Linked DNA regions of Drosophila melanogaster. The protein of the gene in region 1 interacts with the protein of each later gene in a pairwise test. Each region holds a gene or a part of one and is shown in the gene's direction. Other genes may lie near its edges. The genes, in order: CG2076, ergic53, CG43658 and santa-maria.

Region 1 (4,262 bases):
ACCAATCGATGCCCCAGTGCCCGACTGTCTGCATAATGGACTTGGTGGCATTGGATGATCATGATCGTCCGGCGCGAACCAAAACATCGAAACGTAAACAATTCTTTGCATCTCAACTCAAATGTTTATACAATTTTATACATCAACGGTCAAGAGAATGGGTACAACCAATTCAAAATCAGAAGCAAACAATTACTGAGACAGTCGACTTAAATACAATTTTTAATAAAATCTGCATTTTCTAGCAGTAAATCGATGTATTCTATTAATTTCTGCATACATTTTGCTCTATTTGTGATATAATTATCATTATTATTAATTGAATTATGCCAATGAAAGTACTTTCTATATTTGTGGATTCAATCATGCGAATATAGGTATATATTATTATGCTGATTAGGCAGGTCAGACGGACTTATATACAATACACAAAATATGGATCGATATTTGTTTCTTTTTGCATATTGCTATTAATCGTTTTCCTTCCATTTTATTTTGTAGCGCGATAAGCAGAGCATCGTAAGTTGCGTTCCGAAACTGTCAATCCAATAATTAACAGAAATTCACTTAGTAATATAAACTGAAAGTTGATGGCTTTATAAGGCGTAAGAGTCTGAAGATGTAAATGATGTTGCTCATCAACTGAAAATATAGCTAAATTTGTATGATTGAATCTATTTTTGGCAAAGCAAGGGAATTTTTCAACGGTATTGAGATCTATTTCAATATCATAAACATTTGTTTTAACACCTATGAAACGCACTGTTCGCAGGCTCGTACGCATAAACATTCAACAGATCCGAGTAAAATTTGTTAAATTTATTGTAGAGAAAGCGCGCAAATGTCGTAAGTGTGTGATTCCATACAAATAAACAATGTACTCTAGGTTTTTTAATATAAAAATGAACGAAGATTAACCGAACGGACTTCAGTTGTGCGCTAAACTTTGCAAACGTCGGGCCAAATTCTGTCCGCCGATCTCAGTTCTTTCGAATAGCAAATTTTCACAAATGGAGTCAATTAGCAGCATGATTTATTTAGTGGCCATGATGTCATTGATCATCGGTGGCAGCCAAGCGATTCCTTATCGACGTACGATTTTTCCAAATAACACATATATTTTCCAGTAATATACGTTGATTTTCCCTTTCACCCTATAGCCTCGGCGTATCTGTACAATCAGCAGTACTGTATGGATACATTGACGGGTCGGCAGCTTTATATCGGTGAAGTCTTCACGCGAGAGGATCAGTGCGTCCGCATCCAATGCCTGGAAACGCTGCAACTCTGGGAGGATAGGTAAGCGTGCCGTACTAGTATGCCATAGCATCGGGTAACAGATCATCGTACTCATCCATGGTCCAGCTGCCAGGTGCCGAAACTGACGCAGGGCAATTGCACGCCAGTTCCATCGACGAACCCGCATGCCGAATATCCCCGATGCTGCCCACTGTATGAGTGCAAGAGCTACGAGTCGAATTCGGGGGGAACTCTGGAGCAGACCAACATATATGACCACTATGGTACTCTGCGATCATCCCATCTCACTGAGATGATAGTGATCGACGGGCGGACACCCCCTCGTGGCGAGATTCACACGGCGTCGGCGAGGAAGTATCAGGTGTGAGAAGTGAACTGGTACTCTGTTCCTAGGACTACTTAGTCTTTAGTGCAGATCTAATGTGTACAAATACAAATGGAGTTTATTGCGGAATACTTGAATATGTTAAATAAATTTAAATTTCACATTTTTTTTGTCTAAAGAAGTGTATTTTTTCCACTGTACTCGCTATTCAAACTTGGCGCCCTATCGATAGCATTGCTTAGCTTATCAAATAAATTATCTCAGACAACGGGCTACGATTTGAATTCCTTACTTCAGGATCGTTGAGTTTATATTTCTATTTATTTTCTCGGGATTTTCAATATTATATTTTAGCATAATATCGATATTAGCGGTATTTGTGGCCGTCTGCGATAGGCATTTAGTTATCACGTAGCCAGACATCGAATAACGATTGCACCACTTATCGATAATAAAGCACAAGAGACAGTAAAATATTTAACAATTTCTACGAATCAACAAATTATAAAGCCGCAGTGAGCAATTAAAATCAGTTGGAAGAAACGCTAGTGCCCCACATAGGAATCCGAATCAAGCAGCACTTACCGAAGGACAACCAATTGCCCTCTAACCGAATTTCACCACAACAACACAATGTTGCTGCGTCTAGCACTTTCCACCGCCCGTCCAGCCGGGGCTATCAAGATCCTGGCCCAGTCTCCGGCCCAGCTGTTCCGGGCCAATGCCAATCCCAATCTGAATCTCTCCACGGTGCGCACCTACGCCCGCAGGGTGGTTCGCACCCGTGAGCCCGTCGAAGAGATGCGTGCTCCCTCGCTGAAGGAGAAACTGATGGGTCCGCCAAGTGCCAATGGTAAGTCTCTTGTGTAATCCCCCATCTATGTATATCGGTCGTCTAATTGTACTCTTCTGGCGTGCAGCATACTCCATGGGCAAGGGCGCTGCCGCCGGAGCAGCCGCCGTGGGATTGGGCGCCCTGTGCTACTACGGCGTGGGATTGGGAAAACAAACCAGCATCGCGGATAATGCCATGTGAGTGATAGCACGAGTCTCTCACTTGCGAAATACAGGGACTTTAATAACTGAGATTATATTTTCCGTTTAGCATGTGGCCCCAGTTTGTGCGCGATCGTATCCAGAGCACCTATGCCTTTTTCGGTGGCTCTTGCGTTCTCACCGCGGCCGCAGCAGCAGCCACCTTCCGTTCGCACCGTCTCCTGGAGCTGGCCTCGCGTGGCGGCATCTTGGTGAGTCCTCTTGCACAATTCGTAGTTCTTGCCGCCTACCTGACCAACAGACACAACAGAACATAACACTTCCTCTTCATTTGCCTTTAATCGCTTAGGCGACCATTGCTTCGCTGGCGCTGGTCATTGGTAGTGGAGCAGTTGCCCGCTCGATTGAGTACCAGCCGGGTCTGGGAGCCAAGCATCTGGCCTGGGCGGTGCACTGCGCCATTCTGGGCGCCGTGATCGCACCCATTTGCTTCATGGGCGGACCGATTTTGACGCGCGCCGCTCTCTACACGGGCGGCATTGTTGGTGGCTTGTCCACGATCGCCGCGTGTGCACCCAGCGATAAGTTCCTCTACATGGGCGGCCCACTGGCCATTGGCTTGGGCGTGGTGTTCGCCTCCTCGCTGGCATCCATGTGGCTGCCGCCCACCACGGCGCTGGGCGCAGGTGAGTTGCCAGAAAGTTCCACTGGGGCTAGCACCACTTCGCATTATATTTTATGAATTGTCAAGCGGAGTTAACCCATTCAACTCTCTTTTCGCAGGTCTGGCCTCCATGTCCCTATATGGCGGCCTCGTCCTCTTCAGTGGCTTCCTGCTCTATGACACTCAGCGCATGGTCCGTCGCGCTGAGGTCTATCCCCAGTACAGCTACACTCCCTACGATCCAATCAACGCGTAAGTTCACTCCTCATCCATACCGTGCTCTGAAACTCTATACTTTTTGGTTCTATCTTTTAGCTCAATGTCGATCTACATGGACGTGCTGAACATATTCATCCGCATCGTTACCATTCTGAGTGGTGGTCAGCGCAGGAAGTGAGCACTGGAGACGAACATGTGATGCGAGGATTATACCCTCTAAAATATACATACATATTTATACTGTTATTAAAATAAACCGATCGAGTTAGGAAGCAAAATGTACGAACTTTGTGTTTCAATTTGGCTAATTTCAATTAGTGTCTTAATACACTCCAGACCTAGAAATTAAATAATATATTGTCCATATATTATATACAATCTCTAAAAAGAAAGCATTTTTTAAGATCAATTTAAAATGTTAGTCAATTTTAAGCTTGATAGCGATAAATGTAGCTAGCTTTTAACCGATATTTATAGCAGTTGGGTTCGTTGTTATCGATAGCTTAATTACTTTTATTACGGATCGTTTGCCGTATTACCTAATTAGTTAGAAATTTACCTCGTGCAATATTTGTTATTGGTCGTACAGAAGCTCTGTTTTTTTTTTTTTAATTCAAAAACCGATGGCAAAGTGAAATTGGGCTCTAGGGATGTATCGATATGCAATCGATGTTTCATTCAGCTTTTTTCGACAGGACCTAAGCATTCCTGTCAAGAATTGTTTAAATATTTCGAGTCGAGCCGGTCGACAGTTCGAAAATAAGTTCTCCCGCAGAAGCGCCAAGATTCCGGATTTTA
Region 2 (5,466 bases), on another chromosome or scaffold:
GCACGCGCACTAATAACATAAGTGAAATTGTAACCAACCGCAGCGAATCTTGTAGCGTATTATGTGAATTGCAGCGAATCTTGTGTATTAACTGCATTTTTTCCGCCAAGCCTATAGAACCTCTTGAATTATTATTTTTTGTATAATTTCATTACATTGTTGTTTACATTATTAGTTCACAGAGTTAGACAAAACAGAACCACAGACACAGCCGGTTGGCGCTTATCAAACGCATTTGTTATCCAGTTTATGAAACACACAACCTCACACCCACACACAAGCGACGCAATTCATCAAACTCGTTTTATTTTCGTTCCTAATTTTGCTATTGAACTGCGTTCGAATCCATTTCACACCCAATTTAATGTAAGATGTCTTGAAATTGGCTAGGTTATAAAGTGATCTTGAATTTAGATGAAAACATTTGAAAAGCATGCCGTGATGCTGTCAAATGAGAAAAGGAAGTAACAAAAAATGGATTGGATCTGGATCCCACAATCCTCTAATTACTGATCTTATACACGAAAGAGAACCTAAAAATTACGATATATTATATATAAATATACATATATATTGTAGGATATGTATACATACATATACTTTTTGTATTTTGTAGTCTAGAGTGCGCACGTTTACTTTATGCGAGTTTAACATTCTAAACCCAAAATAAAGGTATGTCCACCGCTGTTATGATTTTCTACAGTACTTAACGACTTGAACGCATATTTCCTCTTTCGGGAAATGTACACAAAACCCATTTAAGCTTAATTTATTATCGTATTTGTAATAAATTGAAAAGATTATTATATTGCACCATCATGCATAATTTAGATTTTCGCTACACTGTAGCGCCTTCGTTTAATTATAATTTTGTAATAAATCAAGCTAAAACAAAGACTTTGATTTTGTTTTAATCGATTTGAGTTTTTCTTTTGATCGCGCACAGAACTAACACGAAAGTGATTGTGATTCAAAATAAGTAACTAACATTTGTAAAATGGCGAAACTTGCGGCACGATCGCCCCTAATGACTATCCCCCACACACCGATCTGCACACAAAGCTATCACTTGTGTAAACTGAGCAACTAACAATATTTTATGAAGCCCACACTATGTGCTACCGAGGCATTAAAACCTATAATAATTCTAGCTGTAAGCTCTACGAAAACTACAAACGGTAGGAAATCAGAAACAAAGAATAAAGATGTAAACATATATACACACACTGTGCTAACTGTGCTAAAGGAATTTTGGAGATATGGATGTAATACTACTTTGGTGATATCACGCAAAAGGCAATTGAAACAACTAACGAAATAATTTTACAATAACGTATTGATAAACATGTATCTATGTAAGCACATGCGAATGGCGCGTATTTTGCTATATTTATGTTTATTTTCTAACGGGACGTAAACACTTTAAATTTTCAAAATAAATGTTTTTCCACCTCAACATCATAAAGTGATAACAAGATCTTTTGAATTTGGTGGGCATTTGCGATATCGATATAAAATCTACCGAAATCGATAGCGATTGTATTGTCGCTGCCTGAATATTTTTTAGATCACTTGGTTCTTGTTTCTTAGAATGCATGGAAAAACTTTTATCTTATAGAATTTTAAATTGTGATCTAAGCTGAAGTTAATTGTTATAGGATGGCTGGTTTTATTTAAGTTCAACATTTATATACGAAGGATGGCCTAAATAAATGTTCTAATCAATTTATATTATATTACCTTAATTGTTAATGGTAGACAATACATAAAATAATATTTGATTTTAAATTATACAATGCTTTTAGAACATCCAGTGCGATACCACCGCCTATCGGTGCCGGCTGGTTATCGATATCATCAGTTTGCACCATCGTCGCCCACCCACCACTAGTTGTCAACATATAATTGCAAAGATGCGGCCCACATTCCTGGCCATTTTGTGCTTCCTGGCGTGGAATCCCAGCTCCGAGGCGACCGGCAATCTGAGTCCTGGAGCCGTGGGCGTGCACCGTCGCTTCGAGTACAAGTACTCGTTCAAGCCGCCGTATTTGGCACAGAAAGACGGCACCGTGCCGTTTTGGGAGTACGGGGGAAGTGAGTACGAGTGGAAGACGCAGCTCCACGTCAGTTGTTTTGGCCCACTCGCTGCTGGTCTGCGGCCATGGGTGCGAGCGAGATGGCGCGAGGCGGCCAAGTGTACACGCAGGCACTTTGTTTGGATGTCGTTTTGACCACGGTTTCGGGTGTTTCTATAGCCACAACTTGTTGCTCCTCATTTCAGATGCCATCGCCAGTTCGGAAAGTGTGCGCGTGGCGCCATCGCTGCGCTCACAGAAGGGTGCCATCTGGACAAAGTCACAGACGAACTTCGACTGGTGGGACGTGGAGATCGTGTTCCGGGTGACGGGACGTGGCAGGATCGGAGCCGATGGATTGGCCTTCTGGTACACCACGGAAAAGGGTGACTACAATGGGCCTGTGTTCGGATCCTCGGACCGCTGGAATGGTCTGGCCATCATGTTCGATTCCTTCGATAATGACAACAAGCACAACAATCCTTACATCAGTGCCGTGCTCAATGATGGCACCAAGCTGTATGACCATGCCGAAGATGGAACCACTCAGCTCCTGAGCGGTTGCCTCAGGGATTTCCGTAACAAGCCCTTCCCTACACGGGCGCGAATCGAGTACTACAACAACGTGCTTACCGTCATGATCCACAACGGAATGTCCAACAACAACGATGACTACGAGCTGTGTCTGAGAGCGGATGGCGTCAATCTGCCCAAGAACGGCTACTTTGGCATTTCCGCCGCCACGGGCGGTCTGGCCGATGACCACGATGTGTTCCATTTCCTGACCACGTCGTTGCATGCCGCTGGACAAGTTCAGGAGCAGCCCAAGGTGGAAAACCAGGAGAAGCTTACGCAAGAGTACAAGGAATACCAAGATAAACTGGAGAAACAGAAGCAGGAGTACAAGAAGGACCATCCCGACGAGGTAATTGCCACGCAGCCAGCTGATAAAGATGTCTTATCGCTAGTTTTGATAATCAACTTTCGTATAATCCCACAGCACAAAGACGAGGAGGACTGGGAGGAGTTCTACGAGTCGGAGAACCAGCGTGAGCTGCGTCAGATCTGGCAGGGTCAGAGCCAAATTGCCGATCACCTACGCGAACTTTCCCGCAAAGTGGATGAGATTATTGGCCGCCAGGAGACCACGCTGTCGCTGGTCTCACGTAATGCTGGACAGGCTCTGCCTCCGCCCGCCGCCGGCGGAGTGCCACAGCAACAGCTGCCCGTTGGCGCAGTCAGCAGGAGCGATGTAGATCTTCTGCTCACTAATCAGAACATGCTGCTCAGTTCCATCCGCGAGATTCGTCAACTGGTTGGCGATATCAATGTGCGCACTGATAACATTCAAACGAATCAGAAGCATGCGCCCACAGCACAAATCCAATCCACCGGCTATGATGTACAAACGCTCATCGCCGAGATGCGCGATGGCATGAATCAGGTCAAGCAGGGCATCACCCACGTGGGCCAAAGGTGAGGAATACGCTCAAAGTCTATTTTAAGTTTCCTAAAGCTGTTGTCATCGAAGTTATTCTGAGCTCGAATTAATTTTAACCTTTTCAGCCATATTTATACTAATTTTTCGTATTCCACATTATGAAATTAGAGTTTTAACAAGTTTGATTCAGAGGAACATGTTTATGAGTTTTAGACTATTATACTTTATTGTCATCTTTTAAGTACCTCCTTGATACTCAATATGCATTCCCTTACCTTGCAGATTGGCAGCGCCACAGGGAGCAGCGCAGGTGGCCAATTGTCCCACGGGCAATTGCGTTGGAGTCACATTGTTCCTAAGCGTAACTGTTGTGCAACTGCTGCTAGTCTTCATCTACAACGTCTTCAAGTGAGTTCATGGAATCTTTAAGCGTGGATTCGAAACTAAACAATCTAACTTATTATTCCTTGCAGAAACCGCAGCGAAGCACAGGCGAAAAAGTTCTATTAGGCGAATTCGCGACTTATTGGGATCGTAACGAATAACAAACACACAAGCATACACCCACAGAAATCACGAGGAAACAGATTCGCACACCTGACTAGGCAGCAACTAAATTTAGTTAAAATGAAAGATTTAAGACTTCAGCGTAGCATGCTCTACCATTATGTGTAACTGTTTGTTTTTTAAATAGAAGTCTGTTTAAGAAGTCAGGTCACGAATACAAACTCAAGTCGTTACTTAATCAAAGCAAGAACAAGAAATTTGATCAATGATGTATGCCTCATGACAATGCCACGCAATACAAAACGAAGAAACCGTCGAAGAAGCCACAAGACAAACTTCCCTTAGTAATAGCCAACAGAAGATGTTTCATATTTGTTTTAGCAAGTCAAGTCGAAAGTTTCACTCCATTCTCAACTCTGCATATCATGTGTGCAGGCATTTATAAGAAGCACAAGAAAATCTATCTAAAAAAAAATAAAAATAAAAATGGCAAAATCTATATAAGTACGAAAATTCCGTAAACGTAGCAAATTTTTGTAATATCTTGTATACTTTAGAGTTGAGATGAATCCATCAGGCTCGGCTCTTGAAACTGAATTGGCAACATAAATCTTTTTTCCCATTTTCATGCGCCAAATGGTCAACAAAGCTAGTTAGCCAGCATTTTTGTTATTACGCCAGAAAGTGAATTAATTTAATAATTATGATGAACTGTCTCACTAAGTTTTTGTTCGGTTCGCATCGTCACTGGTGCGATGTAAGGAAGTTTTCTACTGAATAATCTTAATATACATACTGATAAATTATAAAACAATTGAAGTGAAGTGTGTTTTTATATATGTTGTCCATTCCAGTCTCGATAGAAATGTTTAAAGTGAAAATAAAAATCAATTTATAGAAAAATCTATCTCCAACTGTTCAACTTGATAGTTTTAATCTGCGTCCTCATTTTATTTTTATACTTTTCCGAATGCGATATTATTTTCGCTGATGTCGACAGAGGAAAAAGTTTATTTCTTGAAAAGTCCTCGCAAGCATAAACTAGAATCCCTGTCAGTTGCCCATCCCCATCTTCATCCTCCCATCGATGACAATGCGGCAAAAATGGCGCCACTTGGTCGCCAGAATGCGTGGGGCTGGGGAACGAGTTGGGTTCTGGTGAACTTTGGCCATAAAATGTAACTGCCAATGGTGGCATTGTGGGCAGGTCCTCTGTGGTCTGAGTACCCATTCCATCGCATTGGGGAAAATCCCAGGAAAAGCACAGCCAAAGATAGATGGACAGAAGCCAACGGCAGTCGCGGCCCATGCAATAAATTCTCTACGGGATCGGGGAATGGGTTACACAGTTCTGGTGTGCGGTTGGATGGTAGCTTCGCCTATGTGCTCCGTTTCCTATATACTTTCACTGCGCAGGAGCAGGACCAGTTTCCAAGTGGTTTG
Region 3 (4,627 bases), 6.5 Mb from region 1:
TACGTTCTTTATTTTTATATATTAATTATTCATTTAAGTTATATATGAGTAAATTTGTAATGCTTTTAGACGTTCAAGGCCACACTTTTTTTAAGTGCATTCCGGTACGCTGGCGCTTAAAGGAGCAACAGCTGGCGTATGAGTGAGAGGCCAGACGGTGGGAGAGGGGCACCGAAACAGAAGAGAGTGTGAGAAAGGGAAAGAGAGATCCCAGCCGGCGAATGCGCGGCAAAAACAAAAGGCAACGGGAGAAGCTCGGCGAAACAGCTGGCGAAGAAAGTCGCTCTCTTTGGCTTATCTCTTTTTAACCCTCTTCTGCCTGCCATTGCTTTTCTTAACCCTTGCGTATCCTTGTTGAGAGTAAATCAAGCGCTCCACATATTTTATTAAGTTGGAAACCAGTAATAAAGTAGGAAGCTCGCTGCCAGCTGCAGCTCACACACACACCTACACGCACACACTAACCGATGCACTCTTCTCCGGCGCTGGGGTTGCTGTTGTTGCACTGCCTGCTGCACGCGCGAAAATGCTAAGTTGCCAGGAGCGGATTCAGTTGGTTGGCTGCATATATGACAACCAACGAAGATTTTCTAACTCAGTATTAGTTAGACCATCATTTCGAGAAAACAGAAAAGTATAAACTTTTTTTCCGTATCATCGCAGTTATGAACCAAGCAGACTTAATTTTTTTTGTAACAAAACTAATAGATCGGCTTAGATTGATGAACTAACAAAATTAATCAGGTAACCGTATTCCCATAAAACATTGCCTACTTTTTCGGGCATTAGGTAAACTACAATATAAACTATACCCTGCACCGTTTTGAAAGTGATCCGCACCTGTTCTGAAGCATTTTCTGCTCTCTCCCTCGCTTCCCTTCTTCGATCCCACTCTTCGTAGAGGCTCAAAACGTGCGCCTAACAAAATGCCGGTTTAAGTTTTGCGTTGTTTGGCGTATACGTAATGCAAAAGGAGAGCGAGAGTAGTGTGCCGAAAACGAGAGAGTGTGTGAGAGAGCGGAAAAGAGCGCGCGCGTCGCTAGTTGCTTTTCGTCTGATTGGAACTCCAAACTCCAATTCCAGCTCCAACTCCTACTACAAATACAACTACAGCTCCACTGCATCAGCATGTTGTTGTTGCTGCTTTAGCTGTTTTTTGTTTTTGTTTCATCTGGCAGTTCTTGTTCCTTTCCTTCTGCACTCCATTCGCACACTAGCTCAGGTCCACAGCAGCAGTCAAAGCAATAGCAGCTACAACTGCGCAGCTATTAAATGTTTTCAAAATACCAAAGTTCTTAAAAAAATATGTATACTAATTATGTTTTTTTGATAAAATAATGTTTAAGCTATTTCAAAGATTGAAACCAATTTTATGGTTTGTGATGTGCATTGTTAAATTAAATTACTTACTTACTTACACTTACTTTTTAGCAATACTAAGTTCACAATAAACGTCGCTTCCATTCAATCATTAACTTAAAACAAGCTCTAAGCCATTTGGGCATTAATTCTTTTTCCGTGCCTGTGGCGAGCAAACTGCATTTGCGGCACTGCCGGCGTCGTCGACGTGGGGACGTCGCTGCGTCCGTGGGATTCGGCCGCAGTTGGATTTTGGTGCTGCTCGCGCGAGGACGTCTCCTCTCCTTAAACTTCTGCTGGGGCTCTCTTCGAAGAGAGCGCTAATCCTGCGAAGAGCGTCGTTTTTAAGTCGCGATCAGAAACAACAGTAACCACAACCTGGTGGCCAGCAATTCTTACCAGTTTTTAGAAAGAGCCACGAAAAAAATGAAGTAGTGTGAAATATTATATTTTCATTTTGTGTGTGCGTGTGTGTGCGGTTTTCCTTTAATTTCGTTACACTTCTTTTTTTTTGCGATTTTTGTTTATGTGCCAAACTAGTTTCGAGTTCATTGAATTTGCGGCGCCGTTGTCAACCGATCGTTGCTGAAAACGTAAGTGCAGCTTTTTAAGTAGCTAAGGATGCGTTTGCCGCAGGACATTTGCGGTCACGTGGCAGCTGCCGCCACCTGCGAAAACCGCAAAACGAAAAAGCCGCCAAAACATTAGCACTTGAATGGAAAAGTATTTCGCAAATTAGTTAAATAAGGGTTATAAAAGTGGCAGAAAAAGTATTTGTAGTGCACCAAAATTGAATATTTTTTTCCTTAGAACTGGAAGCGTTGTCTGTGTTTTTTAAACAATAATTGGCATGAAATTTCAAAAAATCGAAAATCATATACTTGACCGAAAAAAAAAGAAAAATATTACGTGAATTTATTTTATGTATATTAAGTTGTAACTTTAGGGCTTAAATCGCGATATAAAGTTTTCACATATTATATTTTCTGAACATCTCTTTTTAGACACTTTCTTAAAATACAAATAAATTTCAGAGTTGTCAATTTTTGGGTGAGAGCAGGTTTCCCCTTTTTAGCAGACTCACTACATACATTTATATTAACAACAATAACTTGGCTCTTTTGTCTCACAAGCAATTGGCTCGAAATGTTGTCGCGTCGCCCTTAGCTGTATCCTTTGTTTGGTCCTTGGCCATTAGGATCCCTTTTAATTAAGATGAATAACTTGCAGTTTTTATACGCCACAGAAATCGAAATTTCATCGCCGGCATTTGGTTGTTGCTTTATAAAGAGCTTTAAAACCAAACTTTTAAAGCATGGAAATAATTTAGTTTTTGTCGAAATACGTTAATAAACCTTCAGATAAGATTTACTGTTTGTTTATTTGTTTGTACAATTTATTACTTTGTCCATTTTTTTTTTTACTTTTTGTTGTACTTTGCTAGAAGTTTCCATCTCAAAGCGTTAAGTTTTTCTAGCATTTTGGCACAGCTTAAAAGTTGGCAAGTGCCAAAAGTTCAAGCGCGCTGCTCACCTTTCAATTAGCCGGGAATTCAGAGCGAATCTAATTAGTTGGCCAACATGGTGGTGGAAAGTGACGAGTCCTCTGATTTCCTGGCTCCCTGATTGCTTCCAAAAGCTGATCGATCATCAAAAGACACAACCGCCACGCAAAAAGGTAGCAAAAAGTAAACAAACTAAAAATCAAGCTACCGAAACAAAAAATGTACGAATTCTGGACTGTCGAAATGTTTTGGCAGTTTCAGCAGGGTGCTGTTAAAAAATGAATTCAGGAATTTCAGAAGTGTGGCCAATCATCAAACTGAATGAAGAAAAAAGTGCCCCTTTGGTTGACTCTTCCTGTTACATTTCACAAAGAAACATAAACGAATAGAAAGGAAAGTTGTATATTATAATCTTAGATATATTAACCGATAAATGTCAAAAATGTGTGTGTGACACGCAGTAAAGAATGTTAAATTGAATTAGGGGAAAAAGTATTACAAAAAAAAAAACAAAGTTCTTTGAATACCAGTTCATTACATTTTTTGTACATTACTTGACGAATGTAAGGACCTTTTAAGCAACCGAAAAATGCAAACAATTTGAGCAGCCCTCCGCTGATTTCGCTTATTAACTAAAATAAATCCGTCCAAACGGAAAGGTGCAGAAGGACAGGGCCGTTGGCCAAGTGCTACTGGCCAACTAGCTGACCATTTCCCTGTTTTGCCTTTTTTTTGTGTTTTTTTTTTTTTGTTAGCCTAGCTGCTGCTGCTTTATGTTTGCCTTTTATTTTGGCCACAAGTTCTAGTTAGTACGAGGCGGACGAAGGCGAGTTCATAGAGCCAAAAGAACCGGTCTTGGAAAGTCGTCTAAATGTTTCTCTTACCTTCGGGCACTGCAAGAAAAAACTAATTACGAAATAAGAGATATATAAAACATTTGGTTTAATGTGATCAGACCATCACGGTAGATTTAACTATCTTGGTGCGCTTCGTCACAACGTGGACTGCAAGCCTAAAAGATTTCCTAATCAGTATTACCTAACTATTAAAGTCATGATAAATGAATTAATGAAAATGAGGATGTGCTTCTCGAAAACCAGACTCGGCATGAAGTTCCCATGCTTTTTTATCAGTGCACCTTTTTATCCCCGTCCAAGTCGAAGTCCGAGACTTTTCGATGTCGATGCTGAAGGCCCACTAAAATGTCTGGCTGTGTGAGTGTGCGAGTGTGTAGTGGCTCCTTCCACGGAGTATTCATTCCCAGAGGAATGTGTTAAAGTGTCTAAAGCTGTTTGCCTTCCCCCCGAACGCGCCCCCCCCCTCCCCCACCTCAACCATCCATCCAAATCGCCAAATAGAAAATTCTGAACTCGAGGAGCAGCATAAAATACAAAGCCGAACGCATCAGAATGGCAACGGCGATTTATAAGATAGTCCCACAGAGCGCAGAGGAAAAATAATATCAAATATCAGGGCTTAATTGATTTTTTTCTTCGCCTTTTTACCCCTTTTTATAATGGATCTGACTCATTTGGTAGAGCTTATAAGTTATATAAGCATCATAAAAAGTACATGAAAGCTTTTTAATGCATCAAAATGTTTTTAAAATATGAATTTGCTATATGTGCTCCAATAATCTGTTAAATAGTAAAGTTAATTGCATGTGATTGCTGTTACAAAATGTTGTAATAAAATAGAGAAGGATGTACAAGGCTAAATTGCTACCTTAATATATAATAAAACATACAAGTTCTTAAAAAAAAA
Region 4 (7,574 bases), on another chromosome or scaffold:
CTTTTCACAGCCGCAGGACTTTTTCGTCTGGATCGCACACTGATTTTTACGGTGAACTAATGTTGAAAATAATTAAATATTTTATTTATTTAAGTGGTTAATTTTTGCAGATTACTGGTGCTGCCACGTGCTACCTCATTATCCTAATTCAGTTTCGATTCACACATCACATGGACGACACCAGCTCCAATTCAACAAATAATTTACATTCCATTCATCTCGGCGATTGATTAAAATTATATATACACATTAATCAATTAAATTTAAACATAAAGTGTCCTAACGTACAGATGAAAAATAAATTAAAGTTTTCCAGCTCGCAGTAAATTACATTTTTTATCCGTATTTTTTAAGTTATGATATAATATTTAAAGCAAGTAAACATTTCAATTGCACTTAATCAGTACGTTACGTATTCACGTAACGTAAGCCAATCGACAACAACAAGCTGGTTGCTACGTCACTGACTGTGTTGCTGGCTGACATGAGCTGCTTGAATTTCACTAATGAATTCAAATGGATAATGCTGGCCGAGACCCATTTCGAAGCTAAGGGCTGGCTTGACCCACTTCTGCTTGCTCCACTTCACAACATTGCAACATAATCTGCAGCGGTAACTGACTTTTGGCCACAACTGATAGCTAATCCCAGTTAGCACGCCATGTGAAAGGAGGCAAAAGACTAATCCAATAAGGAAGCCAGCCTGAATACGCACTGAAGCAATGACATTTTATTGTTTTATTGCCTCAGACTGCAATCCATGGGTGTTTTCTATGCCATTTGCTGGGGAGTTGTGCCCCTATGATAGCGAAATAAAACAAAAAAACAGTTGAAACTTTGCTCTGATCGCTTGTCGATTTTCGCAGCTTACAAGTGTGTGGGGTTAGTCGTGAATGTTCGCTGTTCACCCAGTGCTAATCATCACGATTAGCCGCATTGATAAGGCTTCGACAATTTGTTATCAATTCGGATTTCTACTTTACGATTTGTTTACTTTTCCACAAGCCACCCGATTCGTATGCGAAAATTCGCAGTTTTATGAAATCTAAGTGCATAGGAATTTCTTTCGCTGATTGTGATTTTTTGAAATGTGACCCAGTTATATTTGCTATTCGACTGAACAATAGAAAATATGTTGACTCTTTCAGTTCATTCATTTCATTTTTATATCATTTGATATTTATTAGATGTAAATATTTAAAAAATATATATATAAGAAACTAAAATATTTGTAAACGTATTTAACAAAGCAAATGGTTCAATTTAGATTATTTCCAAAAATTTATATAAAGATGGTGACACTGTTGTTTCTGACTACTTCTTCCCTTGGATGCATTCTACAGTTTTAAAGTCGTACTCGCGTTTCAGATTGTATATTGTTTAATTCAAAATTCAATGGCACAACTATGAAAAGCCCAAAGCGCAAATTAACCCAAACACCCACTCGCACACACACATACACACCGTTGCTCGGATACTCGGAGCTCTTCTCAAGCCCAATTCCATATACATTTCCATTTCCATGTGCCGCACTTGACTGACATTCATCGGCCGCCGAGACCGCTCCGCTCTGCTCGCGGTCCGTTCGCTGAGAGTCCGCCGCACAGTCGCATCGAAGCCGCCGGGCGAAGCGGTACCATTTTACGGCATTTCCCAGGGACTCGTGTCCACTTTTCCGGCCTCTGTGCAAAGAAATCATCCACGTGCTCAAGCGTTCTGTCCACATCCTTATCGAATTTCAATTTCCTCGCAAGGAAAATCAAAACGTAAAAAAAAAACCGAGGAGCCTGTGATTTGTTTCTATTTAGCAAATAAAAGTCAAGTGAGTGCCTTTAAAAGAAAATAAAGGAAATTTGGAAAGACAAAAGAAAACTCCTTTCGCAATATCACGTAATTTCTTAGCGCTTCCTGCTTTGTTAACACATTACGTTTTGGCTTGATTTGGCTTAATCGCCGGCAGACTTATTAAGATTACAGGTCATTAAATGAAATTAACTCGACAAGAATGAAAAATAGTCGCCAGACAGAAAACCAAATATATATGTATGTACAGTGGCAATCTATATTATACATTCTTTTTGTGTTTATACTGGCTTTGTGTGTCGTCTCCCTTTTGAAGAAATAAGAGTGCCGGAATGCAAAACAAAGGGCTTCCAGCTTGGACTACGAGGCGACCTGTTGATTGTGCGATTAATGGTCTAAAATTAGTCCCAGGGAAAACAGCTGCTCAGGAAAATATTAAGCATGCGCCCCGTTGACGAATTATGTTTTGTAGCTTGTATTTTTACATAAAACGAAATTGGGCGATGATAAATTATAATGAAAAAATAAAAAAATCTAGTATATGTTTTGGAATTTTCTGCAAAAGAACGGCAGCTGATCTTATTTGGTATATAAATAAAAAACAAAACAGTGGTGTACAAAACACATTGCGTATGCGACCTGTTAACCATTTAAAGTTCAAGATAATTAAATATCAACTTGCTCCCAACTAATTGCAGTTGCGTGTGCCTTTATAAGATAATAAATATCTGAAAAACAAATAATGTAAATACTCTAATAGAAAACCAACGAATGTCTTAAAAATTGCAAATTAAAATATTTATTTAAATTTTCTTTATTGTATGCAATAAAGAGCCAAAGAAACTTCACATTCATTTTCCAGCTATTCGCTAATTGAATAATCAATGCCCAGATTGGCGAATCCTCAATAAATACAGCTGTTCGTTGGCAAATTACTCATGGGACCCGTTTAAATATAGTTCAAGATAATCGAAACTAGCCCCTAATAGCATGTTCATTAAAGTTTCGTTTAAGAATTCAACTCATGCTGGACAATTAAAGTCAAATCAATTAATCAATTCACAATGAATTAATTAAAATCTCAAAGGGCTTAAACAACTTTAGTTAATACTGAAATCTTGGCTACGTAAAAGTGGCATTTAAAGAAATTTTTTGATTTAAAGTTCATTAAAAAGAAACAAAATAACTTTCTGCAGTTCAGGGACCTTTAAAAGTACCAAGCCTATTTACGGTTTAGCCTTTCGCTCTTTATTTATAGTTGTTGGCTTTTTTTTAAATCGTCGTGTGTATTTTCGTACTTGAAGGCTGCGAAAACTCAATTACATGCCGATAGCTCGTTATCAAAAAATACTCGCCCAAGCATATGTGAATTTGCGAACTGCGTCAAATCTGTAAGTTGCGGTTTATCTCAATGGCAGCCTTTGTGGTTAAATGGGGTTGAAAAACATCAGGAAAAACTGAGAAGGTGTTGACTTGTCTCACATCCAGTAGACGATCTTAAAGTATCGGGTTTACTGCGTCTGACTTAGTACTTAGAATTTCCGTTTCATATCAAGTGCACTTGCACTCAGGAAGTTAACGCCAAAAAGGCAGATAATTCTTGCTAGAATGTTTCAGAATGCATTCACTTTCGATGTGGCATCACTTCAGAGTTCAGTGTTCTCGGTGCATTTGCATAGAATATGAATAAAGCGTTCGGAGCATTCATAAAAATGTTAATATAGAAGATCAAGAACCAGAGAGTATGACAAGAGCATGCCTAATTTAATAATGAATCAAATATACCGGTCACTAAAATTTAAGCTTAATTAAACGCAATTATTCAGTGTTGCGGCTTCGAGCTTCAAGAGCGAATATCAAAGAACTGCACTGAAAAAAAAACGTATCTTGCTATAAATATTTTCTCACAAAAAGAGATATTCCTGCTAAAATCTCTTAGATTTCCATTCAAAATCTATCCTCGTTATGTGCGGTATTGCTCTTGATCTAATTGAATTAAGCGAAAAATGCGGGATGAACTCTACGTGATGCACCTGTCCAACGTCCATTTCAATTAAAACTCACTTCAGATTAATTGTGAAGACAATAAAAAGGCGCCGACAAATGCTCGACAGCTATTCATCATTCAAAAGACATAATCATATCAATTTACCAGACACCAACCAGAACACAACTGACACGCTCCCAAATAAGCATATATATATGTATATATGTGTATATATATATATAGATTCCTACTCGTATTCATGTGCAATAACGCAAAGTGTCAAAGACCCAACCATAGCTCACTGCGGGGTCAATTGATAGACTCAATTATGACGATATATCACAGAGATGCGAACCTGTGGCATATGTACGTACATATGCAATATTTATGCTCAAGTGATACATAGTGTTTGGTGATGGGAACTCTGGGCAGATTGGTCAAATAATTGCCAGAGGATGGATTCCCGATAAGCGATAAGTGCAGTGCAGTTCAATTTCCTCAATTGTCTGTGGCTTCCTCATGGGTCTGTTTACCTAAGAGTTCAGAATCCGCTTATCGGACCACAGTGAATGCCCCATATAGGAAAATTCGCCTACCGAATGCGATCATAAAATATTTTATCCACATTCATGCATGTTATTCGTAAACGAAATGGATAATTACACGTATTGCTTGCAATGCAGCTTCAAACTATCATAACTAATTAAAACACATCATCGTTGAGTGTCGGGGGAAGCTTTGTAATTATCACCACTGATAGGGGATTCGACTATAGTTCTGTATATATGTACACATATACTTACCGGACTTAGTATATTCTACATGAGTGTAAACAGCAATTGAAAGTCACGCTTTGCTTAAATTGATTCAATTATATTGATAAAAATAGACGCTATGGGAATTCGTCACTCAATAAAATGCTGCGCTTTTTGCATTTTATTTGTATTCAATTCTTTGTTGATTTCTTTGTTCGCCATACTTATATTAATATGTGACTTGATGCATCTGTTAATAAGAGATTTGATTCTACATTTTTTTTATTCTTTAACTAGCACTGCCTGAAAGTAGGCAACATGAACATGAGTTCACAAAATAATATTGTGTAAAGTTATATTTTAAATTATTGTATTATGATTTGTTCATAATGATTTTATAATAGAAAACTTATCAGTACATTCTCAACTTGCACTACATTTATGAGTTCTTTCATTTGATCCATTTTTATATGTTGGCAAATAGACTATCAATTTATCCATTTTCATTGATGTTTCAATGACTTGCATATCATTACAGCCACCATTAGGTATCCACACACCATCGCCCAGCGTGAGCCATGCCAACACAAAACAGCGCAATGTGGGGCCAAAAAAGTAATCGCAAATTAATTATCGGCATTTTCGGCTTTTGCCTGGGACTATTTGGCATATTGTGCGGCATGTTCTGGGTGGACCTGTTCGATTGGATCATGCACAAGGTAATCCCAGTCATTGACAGAGGTTCAGTTAAGTTCATTTCACTTCACTCCAGTGTTAGCCCGGCCAGCTGCATTCGATTAGTGGCTAAAGCCAATTGAAAGTCAAAAGAAAAACAGCCGCCTCTCAATTGGCGCGAGTCAAAGATCGAGGAAAACTCGTTGAGATTTTCAATTAATACCAATTGCGGCTTCTGTTCTTCGACAGGAAATGGCTCTGGCCCCCGACACACGTGTCTATGAAAATTGGAAGAGTCCGCCAATTGATCTCAGTCTGGACATCTACCTGTACAACTGGACGAATCCGGAGGATTTCGGCAACCTTTCCACAAAGCCCATTCTGGAGCAGGTGGGTCCTTATCGTTTTATCGAGCGACCCGATAAGGTGGACATTCACTGGCATCCAGAAAATGCATCCGTCACTTATCGCAGGCGCAGCTTGTTCTACTTTGATGCGGCGGGCAGTAATGGCAGCCTGGACGATGAGATTACCACGCTTAATGCAGTGGCTCTGGTAAGTATCCTATTCCCTTTTATTACATAATATAACTATAACTATACATTTCCATTTCAGTCTGCAGCCGCCACAGCCAAATATTGGCCACCAGTTAAGCGCTCCCTTGTCGATGTGGGACTAAAGATGTACGGTGCCGAGATGTCTGTCCAAAAATCGATCGATGAGCTGCTCTTCACCGGTTACAATGACGCAATGATCGACGTGGCCATGGCCATGCCCATTTTTGGTGATGAGGTGAAGGTTCCATTCGATAAGTTCGGTTGGTTCTATACGCGCAATGGAAGTGCCGATCTTACCGGAGTTTTTAATGTCTTCACTGGCGCCGATCAACTGGCCAAACTGGGTCAGATGCACTCGTGGAATTACCAGGAGAACACTGGATTCTTTGATTCCTATTGCGGTATGACCAATGGATCCGCCGGGGAGTTCCAGCCACAGCATCTGAAGCCCGGCGATAGTGTTGGTCTATTTACGCCCGATATGTGCCGAACTATTCCGCTGGATTATGTGGAAACTGTGGATATTGAAGGACTGGAAGGTTATAAATTCTCAGGCGGACCACGATCTGTAGATAATGGTGAGTCTTGATAAGAATTGATTAATTGTGAGTACCCATTCTATTAGAGATTTATATTTCAGGCACCCAGTATCCTGAGAACCTTTGTTTTTGTGGTGGCCAATGTGTTCCGTCGGGTGTGATGAACATCAGTTCCTGTCGCTTTGGATCTCCTGTTTTTATGTCCTATCCACACTTTTTCAACGCCGATCCTTACTACCCAGATCAGGTAGAGGGCTTGAGTCCTAACCAGAAGGATCACGAGTTTTATATGGTTGTGCAGCCAAGTACTGGTATTCCCCTGGAGGTGGCTGCCCGATTTCAAGTGAATATGCTCGTGGAGCCAATCCAAGGCATTAGCTTATACACTGGAATACCAAGGATATTTTTCCCACTCGTATGGTTCGAACAGAAAGTAAGAATCACTCCAGATATGGCAGATCAACTGAAGGTGCTGCCCATTGTCATGCTCTCCGGACATATATTCGCCGGAATTTGCTTGATCGTAGGCATAACTCTACTCTGCTGGACTCCGGTTCAGATTCTATTGGCTTCCTGTCGAAATCGTAGATACGATCTGAGGACCAAAACCAAAACGAATGGCCAGTATAAGAGTCGCTCTCAATTCTCCAGTGCTGAGGAACTGAAGTCCAAGGCCTCCACTTTGGTGTGCGAAAAGAGTGTCAAAGGATCTCCGGACAGTTCTCCGCTCCTCGAAAAAGGCCGTAAGCCAACCATTATTAAATCCCAGACGGGTGAAAGTGTGGCCACTGCATCCACAGCCATCAGCGACAATAAGCAGGATTGAACAGAACCGCCACATTCACGCCATTTAGATAGTTAAGCCGTCCTAGTGCTTTAGTCGTAGCTCATAGTTTAGTGACACTCTAAAACACCCAACTGAAAATTGCAAGCATTCCCGTGCCTATGCCAAAGATTAGATAGCCTTCGAAGTCGAAACGTCTGGTGGACTTCGCTTAGCTAACGAATACTCTTTTTACATTCCTTAGTTATTAGATATGTTTTGTATTAAAATGATTTCTTGACCCATGGCTTTCGTGTCAAATAAAATCTTCAACTACAAAGGAAATTATCATTTTAGTAGGTTAAGTGGGTAAGATTGCACATAACTATTTTTATTTCATTACAGCTCACAACGTTTGTTTTGAATTTTAACAACATTTTTTTCATCTTTATTAGTTCAATAACAATTATACAAAATATATAGTATATATGGTAT

What was found.
Region 2: the proteins of CG2076 (region 1) and ergic53 interact in a two-hybrid assay, tested with the Drosophila melanogaster proteins (one large-scale study listed by BioGRID).
Region 3: the proteins of CG2076 (region 1) and CG43658 interact in a two-hybrid assay, tested with the Drosophila melanogaster proteins (one large-scale study listed by BioGRID).
Region 4: the proteins of CG2076 (region 1) and santa-maria interact in a two-hybrid assay, tested with the Drosophila melanogaster proteins (one large-scale study listed by BioGRID).

What each region holds. Positions count from the first base shown.
Region 1 is NC_004354.4:11,088,361-11,092,622, forward strand, and holds CG2076 (uncharacterized protein), read left to right. Parts: upstream 1-1,849; 5' UTR 1,850-2,218; coding exon 2,219-2,438; exon of another isoform or gene 2,439-2,505; coding exon 2,506-2,617; exon of another isoform or gene 2,618-2,690; coding exon 2,691-2,832; exon of another isoform or gene 2,833-2,930; coding exon 2,931-3,267; exon of another isoform or gene 3,268-3,364; coding exon 3,365-3,497; exon of another isoform or gene 3,498-3,560; coding exon 3,561-3,642; 3' UTR 3,643-3,738; downstream 3,739-4,262. Other genes in the region: vago, read left to right, coding at 1,011-1,092, 1,161-1,299, 1,366-1,627.
Region 2 is NT_037436.4:8,533,093-8,538,558, forward strand, and holds ergic53 (ergic53), read left to right. Parts: upstream 1-1,884; 5' UTR 1,885-1,913; coding exon 1,914-2,094; intron 2,095-2,281; coding exon 2,282-3,000; intron 3,001-3,075; coding exon 3,076-3,551; intron 3,552-3,798; coding exon 3,799-3,924; intron 3,925-3,989; coding exon 3,990-4,026; 3' UTR 4,027-4,921; downstream 4,922-5,466. Other genes in the region: foi (fear-of-intimacy), read left to right, coding at 1-13.
Region 3 is NC_004354.4:17,558,154-17,562,780, reverse strand, and holds the start of CG43658 (uncharacterized protein), read left to right. Parts: upstream 1-1,600; 5' UTR 1,601-1,952; intron 1,953-4,627.
Region 4 is NT_033779.5:7,445,197-7,452,770, reverse strand, and holds santa-maria (scavenger receptor acting in neural tissue and majority of rhodopsin is absent), read left to right. Parts: upstream 1-1,526; 5' UTR 1,527-1,822; exon of another isoform or gene 1,823-5,083; 5' UTR 5,084-5,123; coding exon 5,124-5,264; intron 5,265-5,469; coding exon 5,470-5,775; intron 5,776-5,835; coding exon 5,836-6,355; intron 6,356-6,417; coding exon 6,418-7,142; 3' UTR 7,143-7,416; downstream 7,417-7,574. Other genes in the region: Gr28a (gustatory receptor 28a), read left to right, coding at 1-51, 111-230.